Linked DNA regions of Oryzias latipes. The protein of the gene in region 1 purifies or fractionates together with the protein of each later gene. This does not show direct contact. Links are inferred from orthologs where the notes say so. Each region holds a gene or a part of one and is shown on either strand. Other genes may lie near its edges. The genes, in order: slc7a14 and golm1.

Region 1 (4,491 bases):
TGGAACAAGTGAACAAAACAATGAAGCTCAGAGACGCGAGTCCTTCTGCCCTTTTTCGGCCGTTTTCACACTACATCTCCCATGATGCATTGGCTTAAAGGGACAGCGCCTAATGAGTCGACCTTGTGAAACGTCTTGAAACCACAACAAACAAACAGTTTCTAAATTTTCTAATTTAACTTTTATTTCATCTCTTAGAAAAAACAGCAGCAACTTCCTGCTTTTTCTACCACAATTATCACAAAAATCCACGTGAGATTGTGGCGGGGGGGGGGGTCTGTCGATCAATACAGACCATGAATTTCTGCTTTTTTATTTTTTTTGGGATGCTGGTGTGCCGCGGGATTTTTGTCAAGGTTAAAGTGTGCCGTGGCTCAAAAAAGGTTGAAAAACACTGGACTAGATGACCCAACTCCCAATGTTAAAGTGCCTAGGATAGCACAAGGGTTAACAAGCGAGTTGGTTCGTGTTTAATCCCATAATTATTATTTAACAGTGTTATTGCGAAATTGTGGGGGGGATTTTTCTACATTTACAGCATCTCAATAAAATTGTCAAATGTGTGCACTGGAAACACAGCTAATGTCAGTTAAAACAGTTAGTCACCTTTAACACTTTTTCTACGGCGGTCCTGAAGTACAAATCAATCAATGCAAAAACTACTTTTAAAGATCACAACAACAATTGAAAAATCCAAACAAAAAAAACAAAAGAAAAAACTATAACTATAACATTATTTCCAAAAACGGAAATTTTCAGGACTAACAACTTTTTCCGGTTTCTGTAAAAAAAGAAACACAAAGAAACAAAATGAAGCACAATAAGAAAAAGACGGTACTGTGGGGCATTGAAAGTTATTTGGCATGAAGCAAAACTGGAAATGTTCTGTACTATCCATAAAACATTTGTAAGCAAGCGGCCATCGAAGACACATTCAAAAATTTCAAAAGTCAAATGTTATCCTCCAATCAGCAAAGTCCTTTACCAGTGTTTTATGTTTAAACATTTCATGTTGATTTCTGGAAATTACTTTTGTTTTCCAGTTTATTCTGATTCACTTTTTAGTGTTTGTTTTACTTTCTGGAATTGTGTTTTGATTTCTAAAATGTAATTTTGCTGTTTTTTTTTAATTATTATTATTTGTTTCACAATTTTAATTGTCGTCGTGATTTTTAAAATGGTTTTGAGTCGAGTGATTTGTAGATGTGATTTGTGCTTTAGGGCCACCATAGTTTTGGTTTGGTGTAGTCTGTAGGGCTTTTGCATCTTTAACCCTTGTGCTATCCTAGGCACTTTAACATTGGGAGTTGGGTCATCTAGACCCACTAGACAGTGCTCTGAACCTTTTTTCTTCAATGATTTGTGATCTTCACTGGTGTCCATGGATTACATGAAATCTATCCACCTTTGTCATGGTAGGGAGAACACGTCAATGTAAGGGTGGGGTCATCTAAGATAGCACAAGGGTTAAAACAACTGAAGTATCAGTTAATGCAAAATATAGTTTAAAAAAAATTATAAAATACTACAAAAAAACACCTTTCTGTGGAGGAGTGCAGCTTGTTTTTTTTTTAAGTTGAAATGATGCTGAACAGAGCAAGGCACGAGCAGACAGTGTCCACGCCTTAAAGCTTCTGCATTCATTTGTTTGCACGTGTCTCTCTGTTCTCTCTTTCCAGGCTGTGTTTCTGTGAGGAATATTCAGAGAGACACTCTGCAGTTGCCAAACTGGTTCGTTATATAACCGTCTGCCTTTTAATGATGTTGTTTTACGCCATCAGCTCCACCATCGTGGCGTTTCTCTTTATCCTTATTGAATAAAAAAAGTGTGCAAAAATAACAAGAAGCTGCTTATTTTAATCTTTGAAAATGCAAAATCTTCTAAAGTCATATAAAAAACGATTTACTGGTAGAAGATCTATGCAAACAGAAAAAAGCAAAGGATGAGTAAATCGACTTAAGTCTAGTCTTAAAAGACATATTTAGTGTAGACACCTGTTGAGAAGTGACAGGCCCGTCCAGCCTCCACAGAAGCTGTTTTCTGATGCTTGTTTTCAGCAGCAGGACATCATCAAAACTGAAGAGATGAGAAGAGCAGAAGTAAAGGGGGAAAAAAAGGCTTGTAGCAAATGGGAAAAAAAGCAGAAAGCCAGAGATCTGGCTATGTCATTAGGGATTAGCCCAGTTTCAGAGCTTCGGGCTTTCAGTGTCTGAGTGCTGCTGTCCTCACACCAACACGCACTCAGACCCAGCAGCGCGCTGAGCGCCTGCGCTCTTTGGAGGATCAGAAATAAGAGAGCTACAATCCTCTTTGTTTCCGAGATTTTACTCTTCATCTAATTAAAAATAATAACAAATATATATTTCACCTGCAAAAAAAAAAACGCCAGCGCCAAATATCTCTCCTAACCTGTTTAAGTTGAGTCAGTCCCGCCACCCTCTTCTCCTCCTCCTCCTGCAGCTCTGGTCCGCTGGGAGAAGCGACACCCGCCCCAACCCCCCCCCCCCCCCCCTTCTCAAAGTAACACACCGCAAGGGTAGGATGCAAGAGCGGGCAGGGTAAGACCCCCCCCCCCCCCCCCCCCCCATTCCGCCAAACATCCCCTTCCCGCCGCGGTGTGCGCCATCGCGCGTAAAAAAAGGGAGCAGAACAAAGGAGGACGATACAGGCAGGGGAAGGGGACCGGATAGGACGATGATGGTGGGGAGGAAGGTGAAGCGCGGAACGCAAGTTTAAATAAAGAAAAAGTGGTGGGAAAACACTCACTGTGGCGCCGCGGGATCAGAAGATGCCCATGTCGGATGTTGCAGTCGGTCAGCAACATCAGCAGCAGCATCTCCGGGCTGCTCGGTGCAGGAGGGAGGAGGATAAGGAGGGGGGAGGGAGGGAGGGTGAGGCTGATGATGTAAAACGCTTTAAATCATTCAGGAGCCCGCTGCACGACATGTGACCGCCGACACCGTGGATTACTCATCCGGTTCGTTTTCTGGCCGGTTGGGGAGCAGCAGGAAGGGACACGCCGGTGCCCGCCCCACCGCCGTGATTTACACAGATCTGAGCATGATATCAGATCATAACCACAAGACGCCCCCATGCACCACCACGGCAGGCGCGCATGGCTGGCCTGAATGGTCACACAACAGACTGCTTTCAGATAAACAAGAAGATTAAGAGATTTGCAGGCTTTACATTATAACTTTTTTTCTGTATATTTCGAGAAAAAGAATGTTTTGATCAAAAGTCAAAATCTGTCAGCATCCAAATAAACAGTGATTTTCTGATGTTATGATGAAACTTTATATTACATCAAATCAAATATTTGGAGCTTCATCAAATATGAACATCTGTCACTGATATTTTGTGTTTGAGCTTCAACAGTGACATTAGCTTCAGATCAAAATATTATGATGTCAACATATGGCCATTTTATTTAAGTTGAGCAGGTTTTAACGGTTACAAACGACGCATATGTCCAGACAATCTTAAATTACCCAGAATCTTTAGTCAGTTTTTTTTGGTAATAAACTCTAAAAATAAAAATTGGAGAATATGAGCAAATATCTGTGCAAAGAGGGAAATTACAAATGTGAGGCCACTGAGATTTTAAGTGAGCTGTTATCTTTTTCAGGATTTTTCATTTGACCTCTTTCTCAAAGTAAAGGTCAACATTTGGTACAATTGTCACACAAACGTAACGAGACATCGCTCAGCTCCAACCAAATTGAGTAGATTTCAGTCACACAAGAAAACTCTGTCAGTTCTAATCATGTCAGATTAACACAGTAATTGAAAAACTTCTACATATGTGATTTGCCTACAGACATTTGTGGAGGAAGACATCCCGAACCACAAAAATCACGAGTGAATCCTTCACTTTTCATTAGCAACAGGCAGAGGGTCTATTATGATAAAGGTGCAGGGGCTTTGTGCTGAATAAATAATGGGCACTGATTAAATATTCAACAGATGGTCATGTTATTTGCAACAGATAGCCTTTAATGACAGCTGCATTGTGGGTAACTACATGTGTTGAGTGTGCATGGGCCATTTTATTTCTTACATCAAAGTAAATGCTGTGGAAGCTGTTGGAAAACTCACAGAGGGCTAGAAAACCTGTTCTGAAGTCTGTCCTGCAGTTTTAGACGAGTACAAGACACAAATATCTTCTAGGTCTAGGATGTACCATTCATCCTTACAAACGAAAAAATGTGGTGTTAAAATGTCATCCTGACCTGCTGTTGGATTAATCTGCATATATATTTGATCAAAAAAACTAAAGACAAAAAAGACGGAGAACAAAATGCATTTATGCAATTCTTCTTCAAACAGGACAGTTATGAGTTTGAATATAAGAGCAAGACCCAACAAACACCTAAAGCATTGAAAAAATTGTAAAAACATGATCTTTCAGTTTTGATTATACCATTTTCAGCCAAAATCAAACAAAAGTTGTGGTTTTCTAGGACATAGTTTCTGCAGAGCGACAGTAG
Region 2 (3,820 bases), on another chromosome or scaffold:
AGCTTGTTTGTCTGCTTCAAACTCTCCCTCGTTTTCATCGTCTCCGTTGTAGTCGGCCGGATCTTCGTCCATGTCTTTGTCTAACAAAAAGTGAAAAGTGTCAACAAGCATGAGACAAACGTTCACGCTTTCAACAAATACATCCTTTTCCTCAGAGTGTCTTCCAACTGTATTACAAAGTAAGGGGTTTAAGCTGCAGTTGTGCTCTTGTTTGCTTTTTTTAAAAATGTAAATTGAGAAACAAACACATACCAAGGTTTTCAGTCAGCATACTCTGGTTTTCTTTCTCCATATCCACTCCATCCACTTCTTGCTCCTCTGCGTCATACTCGTCTTGTTCCTCAGGCCTCTGACCAACCGGACGATCCTCTGCCTTCTCCTGACTAATCAGCATGTTTTCCAGCCCTGGGTCGACTTCTAAGAAGCAAAATTTGCATTTTGTTGGAACTGTCCAGCAATGTAGATAAAAGTAAATCTGACACCTAACACTATGGGAGCATTAGTTTAAAGAAACCTTAATTGATGTTTTTCTTCATCCCGGGAGTTTTATACCTTCAATCTGGGCTTCCTCGTCATGAATGTTCATCACCTCCATTTTATTATTGTCAGACAGGCTTACAGGTTTAACCTCATCTGCCTCGGCCTTGTCCTTTGTGAGGTCTTCATTTTTTGACAGCTCTACTTCATTGAGTCCAGCAGCAGGCGGAACAGACTGTAAAGGCGCTGTCAGGAGGTTCTTGTCCTGCTGTCTGCTTAGTGAGGCATCAGAGCCTAAAAAACAAAAAGGTGGGGAAAAAAATGGTGACATTTCAAACTTCACGCTAAACTGCATTGAGTGCATTAAGACAAGTATACAACAAATTGAAAGTATTCTCCCTTGTATACCTCTGTCGGTGATAATTTCATTGGTTTGGAGCTCCAAAGTTGCATTGAGTTTGGGCTGAGAGATGATAGAAGTGTGGCTTTCAGCTTCTGGCACCAATACAACAGTTGAGTTTTCTTGCAGTTCTTCTTTAACTTTGTTTTCCTGCATTGCAAGGAAAATAAAATGTATTTCCTTTAAATTCAAAAGACAAAACAAGTAAGAAAATCTGCAAAAATCCTTGCTGAAGGATGGGGTATCACCTAATGTACAGAAGTTAAAATCTTTAAAAAATGCACCAACTTTTGAGATGCACAAAAGAAAAGCATTACCGTATTTTCCGGACTATAAGTCGCCCTTTTTTTCATAGCTTGGCAAGGGGTGCGACTTATACTCCGCAGCGACTTATATTAGAAATAAATTGAAATAAATACATTGTTAACCCTCCTGTTATGTTCATTTGTGAGGAACAGAGATGATGTTCCTGGGTCAATTTGATGTATGAGGTATGTTAAGTGTTAAGAGTATGTTAAGTGACTCAGAGAATCAGCAAACTTTTTTTTACAGTAAGATCTTGAAGGCTAACAACATAATATTCTATTTTCCAATGATTTCATAGATTCGGAAATGCAATAAAAGTGAAAACTGTTTCTACAAATACAGGATGAAAACAGAGTATTAGTTAGCCAATGATGCTTCATGAAAAGAATAAATAAATAAGTTTGAGAAAAAAATTACTGTGAAATTATGAGATAAACAGTCTGCTATGATTGTGTCATATAAGGTTGTGAAAGTTAAAATGCGACTTATAGTCCAGTGCGACTTATCTGTGTTTTTTTCTACTTTATAATGCATTTTTGGGCTGGTGCGACTTATACTCCGGTGCGACTTATAGTCCGGAAAATACGGTAGTTTATTAATTGGCATTAAACGTGTTGTAAAATTGCTACCAAACTATGCTTAAAAAAAAAAAAAAAAGTTAAGGGATTTTATCTGAGTTTATGTTTGATTCTAATTTCTGCAACTTTTTAAAATCTTATGACAAAACACATTCTGAGAAATTCCCCATATCTAAGCAGCACAGCTTAAAGCTTTTTTCAGCTAAGAGACTTCAACCCAATTTTTGAACGAGCATTTTGGGCTAACTTTATTCTGAGGCTCAACAGAAAATCTATTTGAAGTCATGAGGAGATGCAGTCTTACAATGTTACTCATGTAAACCAACTCACCGGTGAGATGCCCGCTTCAGGTGAGATGAGCTTCTCCATCCTCTTCTGGACTTCAAGCGTCGCCTTGGCCACTCGGTCGTCGCACAGCTCTTTCTGAGAAAGGACCTGGGACTGACAGTGAGCCCTGCAGACATGAACCCACACACCTGTGTTCACCTGGACTGAAGTGTGAAAGGGTGTAAAGGCTTAAGCAACTACTAGCAAAAGAGAGAAACAATGAGGCAGTTTTTCTGGAGAAAACGAACCCCAAAATATTAAACAAAAAAACTGCATGTTTTTAAAATTTAAAAAGTCTCTTAACTTAAATAATCATGACCGCTTTTTATTTTGTAAAGCATAGAATTAACATTTTTTAAAATAAAATATTAAAAATTAATAAAAATCTACACCTTGAATAACATTGATGAACATCTCTACACAGTTTGATGAAAAAAACGTTCGAGTTTTACAAATAGCACGACCTAAATTATGAAGACAGGAAATCAGAAAACAGGAAATCAGGTCTGTGGTAGTACGTGTGTTTTACTCTGTGTTTTATTTTTATTTTTCTTAAGTATTTTTCTCTTTCAGATGGAAAATGTCTCGTGTCTAAAATTTGTGCCAGAAAACTACTTTTCCCCTGAAATAAAGTTAAGATCCATTCAAGTCTCCATCCTGTCTGTCAGACGTTTGGGACATTTATGAAACAGGCGGGCGGAGTACAGGGGTCTTTTGTTCTGGAAATTCAATTGCAAGCTTTACTGTGTGAGCGAACGCAGCAGGAGATTGTGTAGACATAGTGTTCTGGAGGCCAAACACATCTACTTTCCATTTCGGTGAATACAAGTAATGATTATCTACATAACTAAACAAGTTCCTGCAGCATTTTCATTGTGTCTGTTTGCAGAGAGTATGAATGTTGTCAGACTGAACCATATGAAGTAAAAATAAAATACATGGAAAAGGCCTTCCGCGTAATATTTCTTCGGCTTACATGTCAAATGTGAGTTTTTTGTCCAGTGTTTCAACGTTGTCTTTGCAGTTTTGCAACTCCTTCTGGACCTTCCCCAAGTCATCATTTAACTGATTCAGTTGAACTATAGGACAGGAAAAAACAAGGTGGGATAGTATGTTAAAATAGGAAACAAAGAATGAGACAAGAAAAAAGTGGTTTCAAAGTTACCTTTGAGGTCCTCTATGGTTCTGGTACTGAAGGAAACATTCTGCTGCATTGTGGCCTAAAAGACACGATGGAGCGACATTACAGCAGTTTGACAGTTCAGGATCCTATTGTTGCTCGGATTCCAAACATTTTCCGAAGCCCTAGAATTCTCAGTTTCAGCTCAGAATGATGCTGGTGTTCACCTGCTCTTGGCTGCAGGTGGTCTGAACTCCCTCCAGCTTCTTCTTGTAAAAGTTTTCGATTTGAGCAATCTGGTCCTTCTGTCTCTGGATCTCCCCCTGGAACTGATTCTGCTTGATCTCTGCAGCTCCTCGCTCAGCTGCTCCGCGCCGCACATGGCCCTCCAACTCATACACCTTGTTCTGTGTGTGCAAAGATACGATTATTGTGAACTATCTGCTACATTTACATCATTCTTTAACAACTAAGTTACAGCATTTAACCATAGGAAGACATGGATGAAAAACCCAATATGTCTGGAAAAAGACAAAGATGTGACTTCCACCCATCATGTAAACATAACAGCATTGTGTTTAGTTTGTCTTCACCAATATTGCACAATGACAA

The links.
Region 2: the proteins of slc7a14 (region 1) and golm1 purify together in Homo sapiens (co-immunoprecipitation; 3 studies listed by BioGRID and IntAct, with this or other methods). This does not show direct contact. The link is inferred for Oryzias latipes from reciprocal best matches to the Homo sapiens genes SLC7A14 and GOLM1.

Annotation. Positions count from the first base shown.
Region 1 is NC_019880.2:5,381,551-5,386,041, forward strand, and holds the start of slc7a14 (probable cationic amino acid transporter), read right to left. Parts: upstream 2,873-4,491; 5' UTR 2,768-2,872; intron 1-2,767. UniProt on the Homo sapiens protein: Imports 4-aminobutanoate (GABA) into lysosomes. May act as a GABA sensor that regulates mTORC2-dependent INS signaling and gluconeogenesis. The transport mechanism and substrate selectivity remain to be elucidated.
Region 2 is NC_019867.2:11,007,768-11,011,587, forward strand, and holds part of golm1 (Golgi membrane protein 1), read right to left. Parts: intron 3,616-3,820; coding exon 3,436-3,615; intron 3,309-3,435; coding exon 3,254-3,308; intron 3,168-3,253; coding exon 3,065-3,167; intron 2,216-3,064; coding exon 2,092-2,215; intron 1,028-2,091; coding exon 886-1,027; intron 772-885; coding exon 553-771; intron 418-552; coding exon 253-417; intron 81-252; coding exon 1-80.